Linked DNA regions of Macaca fascicularis. The protein of the gene in region 3 interacts with the protein of the main gene of each other region in a pairwise test. Links are inferred from orthologs where the notes say so. Each region holds a gene or a part of one and is shown on either strand. Other genes may lie near its edges. The genes, in order: ENTR1, ZBTB43 and AP1M1.

Region 1 (3,694 bases), on a different chromosome or scaffold from region 3:
TGTTCACCTGTCTTTCCGGAGCATGGCCACACGTGAGATCGGGTAGCCACGCTCGTCATTCTACCATGACTCAGGTGGCACTAAGAAGCGTGAAGGAGGCCGGGCGCGGTGGCTCACGCCTGTAATCCCAGCACTTTGGGAGGCCGAGGCAGGTGAATCATGAGGTCAGGAGATCGAGACCATCCTGGCTAACACGGTGAAACCCCGTCTCTACTAAAAATGCAAAAAATTAGCCGGGTGTGGCGGCGGGCGCCTGTAGTCCCAGCTACTCCGGAGGCTGAGGCAGGAGAATGGCGTGAACCCGGGAGGCGGAGCTTGCAGTGAGCCGAGATCGCACCACTGCACTCCCGCCTGGGCGACAGAGCGAGACTCCGTCTCAAAAAAAAGCGTGAAGGTGGCTGAAAGTGGGCAGTGACACGGACGTGCGTCTGCATTTGAAATCTTCTCCTTCCACCCCTCGGCCCCTGCTCCCACACTGTGCCGCCCACTAAAACTCCCCTGGGGAGCTTTAAAACGACCCAGGCCACTCCACTGCACACACCCAGTTCCCTGGTGTGAAGTCAACCTGTGCTGGGAGCTCTCAAAGCTCCTCAGGTGATCGGGCGCGGTGGCTCACGCCTGTACTCCCAGCACTGTGGGAGGCCGAGGCGGGCGGATCACGAAGTCAGGAGATTGAGACCATCCCGGCTAACACGGTGACAACCCATCTCTACTAAAAATACAAAAAAATTAGCCGGGCGTGGTGGCGGGCCCCTGTAGTCCCAGCTACTCAGGAGGCTGAGGCAGGAGAATGGCAAGAACCCAGCAGGCGGAGCTTGCCGTGAGCTGAGATCGCAGCCTGGGCGACAGAGTGAGACTCCGTCTCAAAAAAAAAAAAAGCAGCAGCAACGACAAGTTCCTCAGGTGCTGCAAAACTGGGGATCTGGCGCTCTTTGACCCTCTTCCCGACTTTCCTACTTAGGTAACCTAGCTAACGCCCACCTTTCTCTTCTCCCTCTCACCGCTTTCCCACCCTCCGGGGACTTAAGCAGCCACGCTTGGCCCTCCCAGCTGCGAGCCCCATGTAATGCCGGCTCCTGTGGCCCCAGCCCCTGAGGTGGGACTTCCCCACTCCCTGACGTTCCCTCACTCAGGTTCTTCTGCCCTTGCACCTCGCTCCTACTCTAGGGTAGGAGTGAACCCTTGAAATCCCACCCCCACCTGCTCTTTTGGGCTCCAGATACACCATGTAGCCCGTCATATCGACAGTCCTGCCACCAGACATGTGCCTGGCACTGTGTTGGATGGAGACAAGAAGAAAAGGTGACTGAACTACTCTACCTCCAAAATGTGTCTCGTGGCCTCCTGACGGGCTCTGCTTAGAATATTTCCCCTTTTCATAGCCAAAATCTGCAAAGAAACAATGTCACCCACCATGACGGCAGGAAGTCTTTATGACCTCACATTTGTGTTTTGGTTTTGTTGCACATGGAGTCTCCACTGCAGTGGTTCTCACAGCCTAGAGAACCTCTAGAGAACCTTTTTTTTTTTTTTTTTTGAGACGGAGTCTCACTCTGTTGCCCAGGCTGGAGTGCAGTGGCGCAATCTCAGCTCACTGCAAGCTCCGCCTCCCAGGTTCACGACATTCTCCTGCCTCAGCCTCCCCAGTAGCTGGACATACAGGTGCCCACCACCACGCCCGGCTAATTTTTTGTATCTTTTAGTAGAGACAGGGTTTCACCATGTTAGCCAGGATGGTCTCAATCTCCTGACCTCGTGATCCACCTGCCTCGGCCTCCCAAAGTGCTGGGATTCCAGGCATGAGCCACCGCGCCCGGTGGGCCAAGAGAACTTTAAAAAACACGAGCTCCCGGACTTGTGACCCTGGAGATGGCCTGACTCACACAGACTGGCCCTGGTATCTGTGGTCTGAAAGGGGTTCCTCAGTAGGTTTTGAAGCCCAGTCGGAGCGAGCGTGTCCTCTTGTCTTGTGACACCCCCCGAATGTCCTCAGACCCTGGCAGCGCCACACAAACACTCCCGCACACCCCGGGCACCCAGCAGCACTTCTGCTCGGGTAGAACGAGGATGAACCAGATCTGGCCGCTGCCCGGCTGTGGAGGCAGATGGAATGCTCCAGCTCCGTTTCCAATCACCGCCCACTGGGGTGAAGGCCCCCCCACTTCAGCCCCACGAGGAAAGCGGGCCGGCTCCTGTGCTCCCTGGGCACTACCCATCCTGAACTGGAACTGTCTGTCTGGGGGGAGGTCTCCCCACAACCAGACTGTGAGCTCCTAGCAGGGGACTCCGCCTTTGAATTCCGAGTGCCTGGCACGCAGTGAGCGCGGTGCTCATTGTTGGGTCAATGGACGAGCTCTTGCGGCAGCGGAGGTGCCACAGGTGGCGCGGGAACTGGAGGCGTCCCCGGGGCCGGCGCCCTCGTCTCTCACCTGTGTCTCCCACGGAAGCCAGCACCGGGCTGGGCACATAGCACATAAAGGCCGGCCGAATGCCGAAGAAGGGGGAGTCCAGGTCCCTGCCATGGGGGCGCTCACAGTCTAGCTGGGGGAGACAAGACCGGCGCTCATAGAACGCTGGAGCTGGAAGCAACGACAACAGCGACTTTACTGCGCGCCGGGGCGGCCGCCGCCCACCTGAACCGCTGGACTCGGCCCCTGCCCCGCTCACCGTCGGGAATGGCGAGGCTCCGGACTCGGGACAGCGGGGTGGCGCCCGGGCGGCGCGGGTAGCCCGACATCGCCGCGGGCCAGGCGGGGCAGGACCTGCCTAGCCCGGCAGCGGCGGCTTCATGGCCCCGGCTCCGCCCGGGCCGCGGTCCGTGTCGCCCGCCCCCGTCGCCTGCCGCTTGGCCGTCCCCGCTCCTCCGAGCCTCTAGCCGCTGCTTCCGCTCCGAGCACCGGAAGCGCGCGCCGGAACGCCTCGGGTTGTCGCCCAAGGGGGCGGGGAATCCGCGGGCGGAAGCGGAAGTGACGACAGAAGCAGGGGCGGAGACGCAAGATGGCGGCTGTGGTGCTCGTGGCTACGCGGTTGCTGCGGGGGTCGGGTTGTTGGAGCGGCTCGCGGCTGAGGTGAGCCAAAGGCGAACCAGGCTTCAGCCTGGGACCGGGGCGGCTTGAGTCTTTCTGGACGCTCCGTCTTTGGTTTCTACAGGCGACATGGCGCCCGTTCGACGGGCTCGCACTTCGGGACACTGGTGTGGTCCCCGAGGCGACGGGGGCCCTGCCTTGCCTTGCGCCTCAAGCCCGGGGATGCAGTCCTATCTGTCTCTCTCCCCGGCTGCTGGGTCCTCTCCCCCCCTTCACCTCCCGGGTCGACGGGCCTTGTCCGAGGCCATGCTTCATCGCTGCCCCGCGTTTTTTGCCCCCGTGCTTTTGCCGCGTGCTCCCTCAGGAGGCTGAGCCGGTGGGGCCCCAGCTCTGTTAGACCCGCAGGGTTCTGACACGAGGGTCCAGGCTCTCGGTTGATGCGCTCGAGCGTCCGTTGATCTCTGACGTTTAAGAACCCTTTCCGTCCCCACCGCCCCTCCCGCCCAAGTGACCGGGCCTGCCTTTCCCCACGCTGGAACTTTGTTCCGACAGCACAGGCATCGCGCCTCCCCACACAACGAGCGCTGTTTCAGGGGTGCGGAGGTGCTGCCTCCAGGAGATGGATACAGACTGGAGCGTGAACAAAATATCGGCAATCGCGTAAATGC
Region 2 (3,704 bases), on a different chromosome or scaffold from region 3:
CAGTTTTAATAGTTGTCACAGCCTGAGGCAATGACAGCGAACTGCTGAGGTCCTCATCAATGTTCTTGATGACACAAAGGATGACACGCTAGAAAAAATATGGACACACTCTGAACTGAAAAGTATAAAGAGTAGAACCTGGAATGTTAACTTTAATGAATACTTTAACCAATTTATTCTTATTTTTCCTTTGTATATACATGCATTAGCATAGGCATTGATACCATTTTTTAGTGTCTAAGTTTAAAAGTGTTTTCAATAATAAAAAGTCTAAACGATAAGAGCGCATTAAGCCATAGTTTAATTAGCAGGGTTTCTCTCTTCCTTAGTGGTACATGAAATAATCAACAGCATCTAGCATTCAATGAAATAAACTAGTAATTCAGTTGCGATATCTTATTAGAAAGTTTAATAAACTACCTTAAAGGCAAAGAGCTTAAATAAGAGATTTTAAAAAACAAAAAACCCACAAAGGCATCCCCCATAAGAAAACTCAAGAAATAACACATAATTTTGCATTATAATAAAAGGGCTATTTTTCAACCTTATGAGTTTTCTTCCTGTGAAGAGTATAATTATCAAGTATCCTACTTATGAGCAGATTCTTGCACTGATTCCAAGAAAGGCAGAGGGAAGAGAGCCAGGGCAGAAAGTAAGTAGAAAGCTTGAGGAAGATTTTAACCATATCCATTTAACTAAACTTTTCTAAGAACCTCAGCTGTACCCACTGCTGTAAAGAGAGTAGGAATCAATAAACCCAGGTTCAACTAAATGTTCCTAACAACTACAGAATGAATTTTGAAAAATTACACGTAAAAGGAGCTTATTGGGCCGGGCGCGGTGGCTCAAGCCTGTAATCCCAGCACTTTGGGAGGCCGAGACGGGCGGATCACGAGGTCAGGAGATCGAGACCATCCTGGCTAACACGGTGAAACCCCGTCTCTACTAAAAAATACAAAAAACTAGCCAGGCGAGGTGGTGGGCGCCTGTAGTCCCAGCTACTCGGGAGGCTGAGGCAGGAGAATGGTGTAAACCCGGGAGGCGGAGCTTGCAGTGAGCTGAGATCCGGCCACTGCACTCCAGCCTGGGTGACAGAGCAAGACTCCGTCTCAAAAAAAAAAAAAAAAAAAAGGAGCTTATTGGTTTCAGGAGTCTCCAATGAATACTGTTTTTGTTTTTTTTGTATTGTATAAAATATACATAAAACTTTAAGACTTAACAATTTTAAGCATTCTTAAGAGTCCAATTCAGTGAAGTACATTCACAATATTGTGCAATCATCACAACCCATTTTCAGACTTTATTCATCATCCCCCAAAACTCTGTTCTGTATCCATTAAGCACTAACTCCTCTCTCCAGCCCCTGGTAAACTATTCTACTTTCCGTCTCTTAATTGGTTTATTCTAGGTACTTCATTTAAGTGCTCTCAAACAATATTTGTCCTTTTGTGTACGGTTTATTTCTCCCGTGGTACTTTTGTAAAGCAAATAATAAATCCCCGATTATTAGGTTTCTTACAATTTAACCGAAAATGCTGACACAGTCTCTGAACTAAGCATGCAGCTCTCCCAGAAACTCTGCTACTGTTCCAGTAGCCCCAAAGATCTCAGTCTGATCCTTCTTTAGCCTGTAGACAGGCCAGTTAAACAGCTGTAACTCAAAGAGCAGGCTCCAGAGATCCCTGGAGACCATCCCGTGGTTAAGTGGATGGAGTGAAGGGATTTGGGAAGCTGTGCAGGCCTGAAAAACCACAGGCGAGAAAAGGCTAGGACTCATCAAGCTGCTCTGGCCCCAAAATGGGCCTCCTGTCTCCCTGACAGACTCTCCTGCACTCTGACACTTATGTTGGGCGGCACCTGTCAGAGCTGAGGCCAAACTGCGGTCGAATCACTGAGAGTGTCACCAGTGCAGGGAGCTTCACGGGGTCATGAGTCACCTTCCATGGCTCAGAGGTCTGGGCAGCCCTGCCCTACCCAGACAAACTCAGCTAGGAAACAGAAACAAGAGGAAAAAAAAAAGTTGGAAGAAAGAGAGAAAAACAGACAGATGGCCAAAAAGCTAGACTGACAGGCCCTGAATTAGAGTAAGGGCTGAGTGGCAGAGACAGGGTGAACAGACACAGAAGCAAGGTGGAGACAGATATGAAACAGGATCCATATACCCCGAGAAAGACAAAGTGGAGAGAAATATCAGGTTGACAGGGACCTAGCTGAAAGACAAAAAGGACAGGTTACAACAGGTGACAGAGACAGCAACCGGGGTGAAACAGAAGGGAAAAGAAGATCAGAGAAGTCCAGGCGCAGTCTTTCTGCCAGCTCGGCTCTTCAGGCTTCACGCATTGGTGGCTCGAACCCGAGGCCGTCAAGCCGCGCCCACCCTACGCCCCGAAAGGCCAGCGGACGGACGGGGGCAGGATCTCTAAGCGCTGTGGCCGGCGGAGCTCCGCTGCCGCGAGGGTGACCTTGGGCGAGAAGCTGCCCCAAAGGCCTTGGTATCGCGGTCTGCGCGCCGTGTGGGCAGGAGACTGCGGGATTCGGAGCTGGGGCGCCGGGACCCCAACCTTCCGCGCGGGGCTTTAGCATGCCGGTCCACGGAATGGGCCTGGCGGGGCAAGCGGCGCGTGCGTCGGGGCCTGCAGAGGAGCCCTTAACTCCCCCACCAACTTCTCCTCCCTTAGCCTTGCCGCCCGTGGTCCTGGCCACTCAGTACCTGCCAAGGGCTCAGCGCTCACATCCCCCGTCCAAGGGATCCTCTCCGCCGCCGGCGCAGGCCTGTTCTAGCCTTCGCTGCCGCAACAGATTCAGCCTGTGCCTCAGCCCCCGGAAACGCTTCCCGGTCCCGCCCCCCGAAATTGACAGTGCTTCCGGGGGTGCGCCAGAGAGAAAGAGGAGTGCGCATGCGGGATTCACTGTCTGAGCTGGGCGTCCGGAGAGAGCGCATAGGTAGCGGGCGCCTGCGCAGTACAGTCTGGAGCGGGTCAATCAATTTTAGGGACTGACTAAGCTGTTGAAAATAGGGGAGCAGATACCGAGTTCTAAACCTTCTTGAAACCTTGACATAGGCCAGGCGCGGTAGCCCACGCCTGTAATCCCAGCACTTTGGGAGGCCGAGGCGGGAAGATCGCTTGAGGCTGGAGTTCGAAACCATCCCGGCCAACATGGTGAAATCCTGTCTCTACAAAACATGCAAAAATTGCTGAGTGTGGTTACTGGCGCCTGTAGTCCCAGCTATTTGGGAAGCTGAGACAGGAGAATTGTCTGAACCCGGGAGGCAGAGGTTGCAGTGAGGCGAGATCATGCCACTGCACTCCTGCCTGGGCACAGAGCAAGACTCTTAACAACAACAACAAAACAAAAACACCTTGACCTTCTCCGTCTCTTCTCTAAACAAACAAACGAAAACCTTGACCTCAGTTTGCCTGGCGGAGATTATCTCCAAATCCATTTCTGCCTCCACAGCACCCATCCAGCTTTTTGGCATGTAGTAGATGTTCAGTAAACGTTCAATGAAAGGACCAGTGCCTTTCCGTGGGCTGCGTTGTGCTGGGCACTGGGGTCACACAGATGGTGGGACAGAAACGATCTCTCTAGCTTCCAGTTCTCCCACTCCTTCCCCAAACCCTCCATCCTTCTCACCCCTTTCTTCCCCCTTGCCCCACCACGTTAGTGTAGAAGAGAGATAGGTCTTATAGCAGTGGGACTCT
Region 3 (3,744 bases):
GGAAATGAAGTGGTCCCCTTGGTCCCTCTCTCCCATCTCAGCATTAGCCAGGACTTCTGGCTCAGCGGCCCCAGCAGGCTGCCCCTTGCAATACCTCTTTTCCACCAGATCGTGCCTGATCACCTTCCAAACCCACTTCCGGCGTTGCCCTCTTCCAGGGAGCCTTTCATAACCACCTCCACCTTCCACTGGCTAAAGACGAGGTTGAGCAACTGCAGGACTTGGGACCTTGTTCCTGCCCCTGTGGCTGCCTGGATCCAACTGTGTGGTAATGTCTCTGCTTCTAGAGGACTCCCCTGCTAGACCGAGAGGCCTGGGAAAGCTAACATGGACCATGGGTGGTGCTGAGCCTGTCTCACACATCTGCTCGGCAAATCTGCACAATAACTCCATGAAAGCCTCTTTTGACCAGTGAGGAAAGCGAGGCTCAGAGAGAAGGTGCCTGTCCCAGGTCACACAGCTGAGCAGCAGAGATGGGTTTTGAGCTCAGCCCTAACACCACAGCCACGGTGCCAATGGACACCCTATGCCTGGCACAGGACAGGGTGCATCCTAGGTGCTCATGAAATGTTTGCTGAAGGAATAAGCCAGCCAAGACAGGCAGCCCGCTGGCACCTCTGGGGAGGCAGTGGCCAGTGCGGAAGCAAGACTCATGTCACCAGGACTCAGGGTACACTGCACACACCCAGCCCCTGGCGTGATCTAAGACGGGTGTCTTCCCTGCTTCCAAGAAGGCGGGGGAAGGAAACCCAGCACTGGATCTCACCAGTTATTGGCTTTGGTTGGCTTCCAGGGCAGGCACCCACTCAAGGGACTTCAGGAAAGTGTGGGGGTGGGGTGGGACAGGAAGGGGCAGCCACTTCACCTCTTCACTCTCAGCTGCTTTAGGGCTCACCCCTGCCCGCCTCACCTAGGACCTGACACCCACGTTTGTTTCTCTCACTGACCAATGTTGGGTTTAACATTGTTGGACCGGTGCTTGTTGCTTCCACATGCAACAGGCCAGGCAGCCACTTGCCTTGTACCTGGGATGGACTTGGGAGAAGGCAGAGGACCATTTCTAAAAGGCGGGGACAATCCCTTCTTTCAGTTTTCTCAGATCCTCTGGGGAAGATGCCCGGGTTCTAGTCTATGTCCAGCTCCCTGGTATCTCAGGTCCATTTGTCACCCCTCCTTAGGAAAACCCTCTCTCATCCTCTGGCTGAGGCTGACCGTCTGTATAACACATCCGCCCCACCCCCCCACTGCAACTGACATTTATTTGTGTTTTTGGAGATCGGTATCCATCTCCCCAATCAGCCTGTGAACGTCATAAGAACACAGATTGTTGAGCCCTGGCACAGTGACTCACGCCTGTAATCCTAGCACTTTGGGAGGCTGAGACAGCTGGATCACTTGAGGTCAAGAGTTCGAGACCAGCCTGGTCAACATGGTGAAACCCTGTCTCTACTAAAAATACAAAATTTAGCTGGGCGTGGTGGCAGGTGCCTGTAATGCCAGCTACTTGGGAGGCTGAGGCAGGAGAATTGCTTGAACCCAGGAGGCAGAGGTTGCAGTGAGTGGAGATCGCACCACTGCACTCCAGACTGGACGACTGAGCATGACACTATCTCAAAAAGAAAAAAAAAAAAGCAGGATTGTTTTTTGCTAAACACAAATCGACCCCAGGCTTACTATCCTGCCTGGCATTAGTAGGTGCTCCCCAGATATCAGCTAAATAAACAAATGCTTCTGGATCGGACTCCTAGACTTCCTACTTCTCTGTGACCATTGTGACCTTGGTCAGGTTACTTCACCTCTCCGTGCCTCAGTTTCTCCCTCTATAAAACGGTACTCGTGATCACCATCCACTCACCTAACCCTTGTAACTCACTATCGCAATGAACGTGGAGAAATTCCTCCTGAGAGAAAGTGCACGATAAACAGAAGCTGCAACGCCCTGAGAGGGCGGGACTGGCTGGAGAGCACCCAGTCCCCGCCACGCCTCGCCACCCCCGGCCAAGGGTCGCGCAGCCCCTGGACACCCTGCCTGGCTCCAAGGCCGGCTGCGGCCCCGCTTCTGGGTCCTCCACCGAGCCCAGAGCCTCTGGCCCGGGTGCCTGGGAGCAGAGGGCGGTGCAGTCGGTTACCTGGCAACGCGGTGGCTGCAGCCCACCGCGTTACCTAGCAACAGGGCGTGGATTACCCACTTACGACCCCCGCCCGGTTACCCAGAAATAGGGTGGGGCTCTCAGGTGAGGTCTACCGGCCTCTTTGCCTCACACCAGGGTGGGGCTCATAAGCCGGTTACCTAGCAACAGGGTGGGTCCCCGCGGGCGGAGGCCCCCGCCGGTTGCCTGGCAACAGGGAGGGTGGGGAGCCTTCATTACCTTGCCCTTCAGGTCCAGCACGTAGACGGCGCTAGCGGACATGGTGGCTGCAGGAGGCCTCGGCAGCGGCAGCGACGGTGGGGACTGCCAGGCGTTGAGCAAGGCCGGGCGCCGCCCGCGACAGCTCACCTCCACTTCCGGTTCGGGGAGCCGCGCGGGGACCGTTATGTCCGGTCCGGGAGGAGCTGCCAGGAATGCGCAGGCGCAGGACGGACTCTGCGCAGGCGCATTACGTTGTATGTGACCATGTTTCTTGCTCCCGCCTGAAGCCTCCCGGAAGTAAGGCCCTGGGAGGCGGGGCCGACCAAATCAGGGCACCCACTGGCCGCTGCCAGGCTGAGCTATGGAGCCAGAGCAGCTGAAAACCGCCTCCCGTCGGCCGAGTTAGGCGAGAGAGCCTGGTGGTGAAACCGACCTGGGACCCAGCCCTATGGAGCTCACAGTCTAGTGGGGAAGTCTATGAAACAAGTGTACAGTCACCAATTGTGATAAGCTCAAAAGGGAGAGGTAAGGCCGTGGTTACTTGGAAAGAGGTCAAACTTTCTGAATGGCAATCAGACCTTATCAACAGTCACCACCTGTCATTGTCAACTTTTATCAGTGAATGAGCATGCCTGTTTATTGCCTGGAATGTTAAGAAAACCAGTCTCACTGAACCTTGACCCAGCATACCGTGTTTCATTTCTGCAAAGTTAGTAGTCGGTAATGCAACTGGTGGCCCTTGATTAATCCATTGAATCATATCTAATTTGCTTTTATGAAATCTTGGGCTTTGGAGAAATACCTGCATTCTGTTCCAGTTAGCCATCACAGTACCCTGGGGATCCCAACCCTGCAATATCAGAGTGGTTTACCCAGGATGCCTGCCTCTCACATCTTTTATTTTCCCTCCTATCTCCGTTTTGGCGTTTGGAGAGATGATTTTTGCAACTCGGTAATTATATAGTCTTTGCTTAGGATAGAAATGTGACCGAACCTCTAGAAAAGCAAACTAGAATGTTTGAGGACTACTAAGTGATCCTGGGCTGGAAGGATTCTTGCACAAGGCACAGAGCAAGCAGCCAAGAGAGGCTTTTTGCTTTTTTTTTTTTTTTTTTTTGAGATGGAGTCTCACTCTGTCACTCAGGCTGGAGTGCAGTGGCACGATCTCGGCTCACTGCAACCTCTGCCTCGCGGGTTCAAGCAATTCTCCTGCCTCTCAGCCTCCCAAGTGGTTGTGATTATAGGCACATGCCACCACGCCCGGCTAATTTTTGTCTTTTTAGTAGAGACGGGGTTTCACTATGTTGGCCAGGCTGGTCTCAAACTCCTGACCTCAGGTGATCCACCCACCTCGGCCTCCCAAAGTGCTGGGATTACAAGGGTTAAGTTAAAC

The links.
Region 1: the proteins of AP1M1 (region 3) and ENTR1 interact in binary tests that used the Homo sapiens proteins (3 or more experiments, as listed by UniProt). The two-hybrid records come from large-scale screens. The link is inferred for Macaca fascicularis from reciprocal best matches to the Homo sapiens genes AP1M1 and ENTR1.
Region 2: the proteins of AP1M1 (region 3) and ZBTB43 interact in binary tests that used the Homo sapiens proteins (3 or more experiments, as listed by UniProt). The two-hybrid records come from large-scale screens. The link is inferred for Macaca fascicularis from reciprocal best matches to the Homo sapiens genes AP1M1 and ZBTB43.

The regions. Positions count from the first base shown.
Region 1 is NC_088389.1:2,956,741-2,960,434, reverse strand, and holds the start of ENTR1 (endosome-associated-trafficking regulator 1), read right to left. Parts: upstream 2,899-3,694; 5' UTR 2,738-2,898; coding exon 2,668-2,737; intron 2,580-2,667; coding exon 2,430-2,579; intron 1-2,429. Other genes in the region: PMPCA (mitochondrial-processing peptidase subunit alpha), read left to right, coding at 2,998-3,068. UniProt on the Homo sapiens protein: Endosome-associated protein that plays a role in membrane receptor sorting, cytokinesis and ciliogenesis. Involved in the endosome-to-plasma membrane trafficking and recycling of SNX27-retromer-dependent cargo proteins, such as GLUT1.
Region 2 is NC_088389.1:17,206,192-17,209,895, forward strand, and holds the start of ZBTB43 (zinc finger and BTB domain-containing protein 43), read right to left. Parts: upstream 2,836-3,704; 5' UTR 2,711-2,835; intron 1-2,710. UniProt on the Homo sapiens protein: May be involved in transcriptional regulation.
Region 3 is NC_088393.1:16,519,154-16,522,897, reverse strand, and holds the start of AP1M1 (AP-1 complex subunit mu-1), read right to left. Parts: upstream 2,509-3,744; 5' UTR 2,412-2,508; coding exon 2,370-2,411; intron 1-2,369. UniProt on the Homo sapiens protein: Subunit of clathrin-associated adaptor protein complex 1 that plays a role in protein sorting in the trans-Golgi network (TGN) and endosomes.